Linked DNA regions of Cricetulus griseus. Each later gene encodes a partner of the first gene's protein in a complex. Links are inferred from orthologs where the notes say so. Each region holds a gene or a part of one and is shown in the gene's direction. Other genes may lie near its edges.

Evidence for each region.
Region 2: the proteins of Cab39 (region 1) and Strada are in contact, whole or in part, in a crystal structure (PDB 3GNI), measured with the Homo sapiens proteins. The link is inferred for Cricetulus griseus from reciprocal best matches to the Homo sapiens genes CAB39 and STRADA. Residues at the interface, in NP_001124321.1 of Homo sapiens: Leu26, Glu27, Lys28, Gln29, Tyr55, Gly56, Thr57, Asn58, Ala85, Asp86, Gln88, Leu89, Phe92, Glu93, Lys96, Arg107, Glu138, Leu141, Ile145, Ser176, Thr177, Phe178, Asp179, Ser182, Asp183, Glu221, Asn222, Tyr223, Val224, Arg227; in NP_001003787.1 of Homo sapiens: Pro64, Leu104, Glu105, Cys107, Ser108, Asn109, Val112, Gln116, Leu119, His120, Lys123, Leu124, Phe125, Asn126, Thr136, Phe137, Ile138, Asp140, Asn141, Leu143, Tyr185, Met189, His223, Gly224, Arg226, Val426, Asp427, Asp428, Trp429, Glu430.

The regions. Positions count from the first base shown.
Region 1 is NC_048595.1:437,538,228-437,541,878, forward strand, and holds part of Cab39 (calcium-binding protein 39), read left to right. Parts: intron 1-2,574; coding exon 2,575-2,718; intron 2,719-3,270; coding exon 3,271-3,459; 3' UTR 3,460-3,651. UniProt on the Homo sapiens protein: Component of a complex that binds and activates STK11/LKB1. In the complex, required to stabilize the interaction between CAB39/MO25 (CAB39/MO25alpha or CAB39L/MO25beta) and STK11/LKB1.
Region 2 is NC_048600.1:119,104,942-119,108,592, reverse strand, and holds part of Strada (STE20-related kinase adapter protein alpha), read left to right. Parts: intron 1-1,689; coding exon 1,690-1,861; intron 1,862-2,322; coding exon 2,323-2,427; intron 2,428-3,651. UniProt on the Homo sapiens protein: Pseudokinase which, in complex with CAB39/MO25 (CAB39/MO25alpha or CAB39L/MO25beta), binds to and activates STK11/LKB1.

The DNA.
Region 1 (3,651 bases):
TGAATCATCCTGTCTGAACTTCCCAGTGAAATGACAAGCATGAACCATTATGCCTTTCAGAAAGATACTTTTAAATGAATTCATGCCAGCCAGATAAAGCATTGTGGGTGTATACCAAATGTATAGATTGGCAGGTTGGGGGCCAACATGTGAGCAGTGAAACTGAAATGCCATAGCTTTATATCAACACAGGATATGGACAATCCCATTTGAACCTTAAACATGCTAAATGTAAGACTGGAAGTCTTCAACAAATGTTGGCAAACTAAGAAGTTGGAGATGTAGCTCAGTGGGCCTAGTACCCAGCACGCACAGTGAATGCTGGGCAGCTGTGGCAATCAGCCTGTGCTTGGGTGGTGGAGACAGGATCCTAGGGTTAAGCTGGCTTGCTACATTAAACCATCAGACTTTCTGCTTCAATATGGCAAGTGGGAAAGTGGCTAAGGAAGAGACAAGTATTGATCTTCAGCCTAAACAAATTGGTGCATGCGCGCGCGCACACACACACCCCTACCTACCTATCCATCCATGTGCGTATATACACATGAGCATGCATGTAAACCACACACATGCAACTGGCAAACCACAGCCTAGAATCCAAACTCAGCCAAATGATTGGTTTTGTAAATACATTTTTATAGGAATACAAGACATTTATGCATCATGTTTGGCTGTTTGAAACTGTAACAGCAGGTTTGAGTGGTTGTCACAGAGACCATATGGCCTACCAAGTTTAAAATGTGTGTTGTCTGACCTTTTACAGAACAACTGCTGGCCTCTGTATGTTCTTATGGTGATTATTAAATATGTAGCAACACATTCAATTCTGTCAGGGAACTGGAGGTGGAGTTGCAAGGATGTAGAATCTCATTTAAATGTTTTGCTGGATGTATTTTAAATTCCATTTGCTCAGAATTCCTCAAAAGTACCTGATTTTGTATTGATGAAACACTATTATTTCCCTGTTGGCAGCAACTTTATATTCCCAAGTAAAACTTAACTCTCAGTGTCCAAATGATTTTGAGTTCCCAGTCGTCTTCTGCATAGTCATCTTTTGGATAACTCAGCTGAAGCCAGTCTTTCTTCATAATGCTTTTAGTTCTCTAATAGAGATGAGCACAGTGAGAGCTGCACCCATAGCTCCCACTTGTGAGTCTCCCTAGAACACAGGCAGGCCACTTCTTTTCGTGAAAATTAGTAATTATATGTTCAGAGTGGTATGAGGCCTGAAGTTAGTTTTTAAATATGAAAATTATCACATTGCTAGTGCATGCCTTTAATCCCAGAACTCAGGAGGCAAAGGCAAGAAAATCTCCTGAGTTGAGGCCAGCCTGGTCTACAGAGTGAGTTCCAGGACTCACTGGAAACCCTGTCTTGGGGGAAAAGAAAAGAATTATTACATTGCACTTATGTTATGTGGGGAATAGGGCGCATATGGAGGTTAGAGAACAAGTTAGGGGAGTCAGGTCTCTCATTCCACCATGTGAGTCCTGGGGACTGAATTCAGGCTGTCAGATTTGATATGCACCTTTACCCATTGAGCCGTCTTGCTGGCCTGAAACAAAAGTTTTATAAATTCTGCATGAATCCCAGGTAGAATCAATTTGTTTTCCTGAACAACAGATTGGGGGTGGGGATATGAGTGTGGGTGCTGGAGGAGACCAAGAGAGCAGTGAAACCTTCTGGAGCTTCGGTTGCAGTCATGAGCAGCCCACCTGGGTGAGAGGAACCTCTGCAGGAACAGCGAGTATTCTTACTTAACCACTGAGCCGGGTCTGCAGCCCCACAGGGTTTGAGTCTTGGTTTTTGGAGTTTGTTTTTTGTATGATGAGAAGCTGTTTACCTAGAAATGTCAAATACTAGAGCTCAGCTGGGACCCAGCACCTATCAGGCACAGTTCTGTGCTTATATTCCCAGGCGCTCACACTTGAGTTTCTCACTGCATTCTCCAGAGTTCAGTACTATTCGACCTCATTGTGTACATGGTGAAACTAACTCACAAAGAAAGCAAGTAACACTTAGGGTTACATATCTGAACCCAGGCAGGCTGGCACAGGACATGCCCTACTGTCTGCCTTGCTGTTCACAAGGAGGATGTTGATGCCTGCTAACATGTATGTGGTTGACACAGTGGGGCTCAGCTGGAGCTCAGTATGAGAGCAACTTGGAGGAAAACCTGCACATTGTACATTTATATGGTATATCAAGGCAGAAGTGGTTTCAGCTCGATGCTGTGGCTCCTTAACAGTCAGGAATGTGTTGAGGAACCTCCTCTGAACATACTGCTTTGTGAGGCAGGTGTGAGAGTGTGAAAACCTGAGCATGTGTTTAGGAGACAACACGCTTCAACTTGGAAAGCCCTGCTCAATATAATTTAAAACAGGTAGGGGGAAGCTAAGATCAGTGAACAGAAATTCCCAGTACCCTTTCTTCTGGCCACTTTCTTGGGTAGTGGTTATTTATTGTCTTGTTCACTTTCAAACCAGTCTCTCTAGTCTCACAATGACTATAAGATGGGTTGTTGTTTGTTACTGAAGTCTTAATAATAATGCAATGGTCTAAATGTGTCCTCAGCTTCTCGGTGAACTGCTGTTAGATAGACACAACTTCACGATTATGACGAAGTACATCAGTAAACCTGAGAACCTCAAGTTAATGATGAACCTCCTCCGAGACAAGAGCCGAAACATCCAGTTTGAGGCCTTTCACGTGTTCAAGGTGGGCTGCACTGACAAACAGCGCTTTCCTCTAAAACTGTTCATTACAGTTACTAATACTGCCTGGTTTCAGTAACCCACACGGTACTCAGTTTAGTCAGCATGTTTGAACGGAAGCAGGGACCTGGAAATGGGCGGACCATTTGGGCTTGAGAATAAGCAAGCACAGTCGGAGAGGAGCCTCATTATCTTCAGCATGCACCCAAGGTTATTCAGAGACAGCGGTTCCCTTGCTGCCCTCCTCCCCCGCCCATCTAGGCTGGCCTCCCATTCCAAGTCTCTCTGCGGCCGATTGAGTGAGGAAGTGAGGGCCAGGCCCAGGCAGAGTATTTTGTGATGCTTAGTGGAGGGCTATGTGTGTGGTTGGGGTGGGGTGGTATCAGTATTTAGTTCTAACTACTATGTTTCAGAGTTGGCAATCTCTGTGCTAAAGCATGTGATCATTATTATTTCCCCATATCATGTAAAAATAAGCTCTTCTAAAGCAAAAACCAGGAGCTTGTGGGGTGGATGTTGACTGCTTCTCGGACCTACACGGTTTTCTCTTATGCAGGTGTTTGTGGCCAACCCCAACAAGACACAGCCCATCCTAGACATCCTCCTCAAGAACCAGACCAAACTCATTGAGTTCCTCAGCAAGTTTCAGAACGACAGGACGGAGGACGAGCAGTTCAATGATGAGAAGACCTATTTAGTCAAACAGATCAGGGATTTGAAGAGACCAGCTCAGCAAGAAGCCTAATTTCCAATAAACGCCTATGATATCCCTTCCAACTTCAGCACTTGCTGTTAGCTACTCAGCATCAGGCACTCTTATCGATTCATGAGGAACATTACTGCTAATCTGCTGTTAAGTGAACGGTTTTCATTTTACCTTTTTGTTTTTCAGTCCAGGTTGGAGAACGTAGCTGCTGCTTGCACATTAGAGCGCACA
Region 2 (3,651 bases), on another chromosome or scaffold:
CACTTCCCAAGAATGCCCAAGAACAAAAAGTAAAAGTACAAGTAGGAGCCAGGCTGGAGCACGAGTGGCAGATGTCTGTGAGTTCAAGGCCAGCCTGGTCTACAGAGTGAGTTCCAGGACAACCAAGGCTACACAGCAAACAAAAATCATTAGTCCTCCTGGTATGGTGGTGCATGCCTGTAAGAGAGCAGATCTCAGAGCATTAAGGCTTTGGGGACAGCCTAGACTACATAATGAGTTCCAGGCTGGCTGGGACTATCTATCGGAACATGGCTGATACGCCAGGGGCCTCACTGTTAAATAAAACTGACTTTCCCTCCCCCAGAAGCCATCAGCCTGTCAGTTAGGGGCAGAGGCTCTTGAGCGCCTCTCTCCTCCATGCTAGAATGCTAGGGTCCTATTCAGGCAGCCACAGTTTCCGTGAGTTCATGAGTGCAGTGGTCGTATGTGTCCAGAGGACACTGTTTTGGTCAGTTCTTCCCTACCTCTGCTCTTACAGTCTTTCCATCCTTTTTTTTTTTTTTTTTTTTTTTTGCAATGGTCCCCAGCCTCGGTGAGAGGAGAGTGATAGAGATGGCCATTTGTGCTGAGCACTCACCCCATAGACACTAACTGACCACACTGACCAGCTTGAGTGTCTGTATTAGTCAGGACCCGGCACAGAGACTTCTCTGATGAGGGTGAGAGCACTAATCTCTCAGTGTGTGGGGGAAAGACACACATTTGGAGGGTGCTTTGATACTAGCGACATACCAAGTTTTCAAATATAAGCTGGGCAGTGGTGGCGCCACCTTTAATCCCAGCACTTGGGAGGCAGAGGCAGGCAGATCTCTGTGAGTTCAAGGCCAGCCTGGTCTACTGAGCGAGTTCCAGGACAGCCTCCAAAGAGGCTTACAGAGAAACCCTGTCTCAAAAAAAAAATTATATATATATATATATATATATATATATATATATATATATATCTCATAGGGCTGGAGTAGCAGTTAAGAGCACAGAGATCCCAGCACCTACATTGGGTGGGTCACAATTGTCTGTAATTCTAGCTCCAAGAGATCTGACAACTCGGGCCCCTGCAGGCACATGCACACACCCACTCCCACACCCCCATACACATAACTAAAATAAAAAATAAATAAATCTCTAAGCTGCAGAAACAGCTCAGTGGGTAAGAAAGTCTACTACTTTTGCAGAAGACTTTTTGGTTCCCAGCATCTACATTGGGTTGTTCACTATGGACTATAACTCCAACTCCAGGGGCTCTGGCACTGTCTTCTAGCCCTCCTTGGGCATTGCACATCTCACATACAGATACGTGTACACATAATTAAAAACCAACCTAAACGTCTGGGTGTGGTGGCACATACCTTTAATCCCAGCATTCTGGAGGCAGAGGCAGGTCAATCTCTATGAGTTCAAGGCCATCCTGATCTACAGAGTGGTTTTCAGGATAGCCAAGGTTACAGAGAGGACCCAGTCTCAAAACCATGCACAAAATAAACATAAACAAACAAAATCTAGTGGTACATGAATGGGGCCATGTTATTTTCTTATTTTTAGGTATGTTTGAAAATGGCCATAGATGTATGTATGTATGAGTTGCACTTATATGCATGGGATTTGCACATGGGGGAGAGCTGGCCAGGTCCAAGAGCATTGGGCATGCACATGTATTCATCTCCCCCTCAGGAGTGTCAAGGCCAGCCACATTCTGATTTCCATGGATGGGAAGGTCTACCTGTCTGGTCTACGCAGTAACCTCAGCATGATCAGCCACGGGCAGCGGCAGCGTGCGGTCCATGATTTTCCAAAATATAGCGTCAAGGTCCTGCCATGGCTCAGCCCAGAAGTCCTCCAGCAGGTCTGTGTCCTTGGGCCCAGGGAGGCCCAAGAATTTGCTGGGGTGGAGTTTCTCCCTGATTCTGGTAGAGTAAGAGGTTCTGGAGGAAGCATCCTGTTGGCCAGGTGTGTCTTAGCACCCACTCAGCATGGGCATTGCCTGCCTGCTGTGGATGTGTGAGGTCCCTAACTTGACACTAGTGTCTGTCTCAGGGACACTTCCCACCCTGTGGGTAGAGAGCATTCTGGAAATACTTGGTGCCAGCAGGTGCACCCATTCCAGTGTGCCTGCTCATTTCACAGCAGCGCCAACCGTTTGCTGTCCTCACATAGCAGTTGTCTGCAGCAGAAGGAGGAGCATGGTCAGCTCTGGATCCTGACTGGGATGGGCATTCATCGCCTCCTCAGTTTTTATTCCTTCTTATTTAAAGAAAGGCCAGGGCTGCAAATGGAGCCACCTTTGACTTTTTTCTTCTTTCTTAGAATCTTCAGGGTTATGATGCCAAGTCTGACATCTACAGTGTGGGGATCACAGCGTGTGAACTAGCTAATGGCCATGTCCCCTTCAAGGATATGCCTGCCACTCAGGTAAGTGCAGTCCTGTCTGCCTTCCACAAATGTCTGTTGCTTCCTGCCACACTGGGACTCTGACTACAGTTAATAACATGATGGTCTTTTTTCTTCAAGAAGTTTTCCACCCACTTGGTGGAGGGGTGTTTGTGCAATTCTTTGTTCCCTTCTCTGGTGATAAATATTGTGGTCACAGAGCCCAACCCATAGGGTGGGGCAAGTAGGACAGTGAGTGCCGACAGAGGCACATTAACACATGATACTGTATGGCTATGCAAACTGTATAAACTGCTGATCAATTTTGAACTTAGAGCAATCCTCCTGCCTCAGCTTCCAAGTTTTTTGATTATAGGCATGTACCACCATGCCCAGCTAAGCTGCCCGATCCTTATAAACTCATCAGCTATGTCCTATCTTTCTCCCTTGATAAGTACAAAAGATCAGCGTTCAGTTTCAAATCCCAGGCATCTCTGGTTGTGTGCACTGTGCTCTGAAACACACTGTAGAACCTGCATTCTGTAGACCCCTGAACATGCCTGCCTTTTGGCCACCGTTCAGGCCAGTGGCATAGCCTGCTCGTGGACTGGCAGACCTAGAGAAGAAACTTATTCAGGTCCTACCATACCCAGGAAATGGAGTTGGGATTGTCTGGGCAAGTGTTACTTGAATCTCAGGTGCCTGGAGCAAGATGTAGAACTAGGAGGAGGTAAAAACCTGTGAGCAGGCCTCCCTCCTCAGGCTCACACACTGCTCACCTTGGGGTCACAGGTTGAAGCTAGAGAATGATTGAGTCAGCAGGGACCAAAGGAACTTCTAGGGGGTGAAAATACTTTGTCTAAGACTTTAAAAGAAAAAAAAAAATTTGTGTGCACATGTGCCATTGCCTAAGGAGTTCAGAAGAGGGCATCAGAGCTCCTGGATCTGGCGTCACACACTTGAAAGCCACCCAACATGGATGCTAGGAACCAAACTCAGGTTCTCTGTAAGAGCAGCAAGCTTCCTTAACCACTGAGCCATCTCTGCAGCCCCTAGTCTAGCCTTAAAAGCTAATAGCAGTTGACTACATAAAGAGTGGGAATAGAAGCCTACTCTGGGCTGGAAGTGTAGCTCAGTGGTAGATGTCAGGCGTTTTCTTTTGGGTCACCAACCAGCTCCCAGGTTATGGCACAGAGACTTCTTATGATTTATGAATGTGTGGCCTTATATTAGCTGGTATTTTAATCTGTTCCGCTTTATGTACAT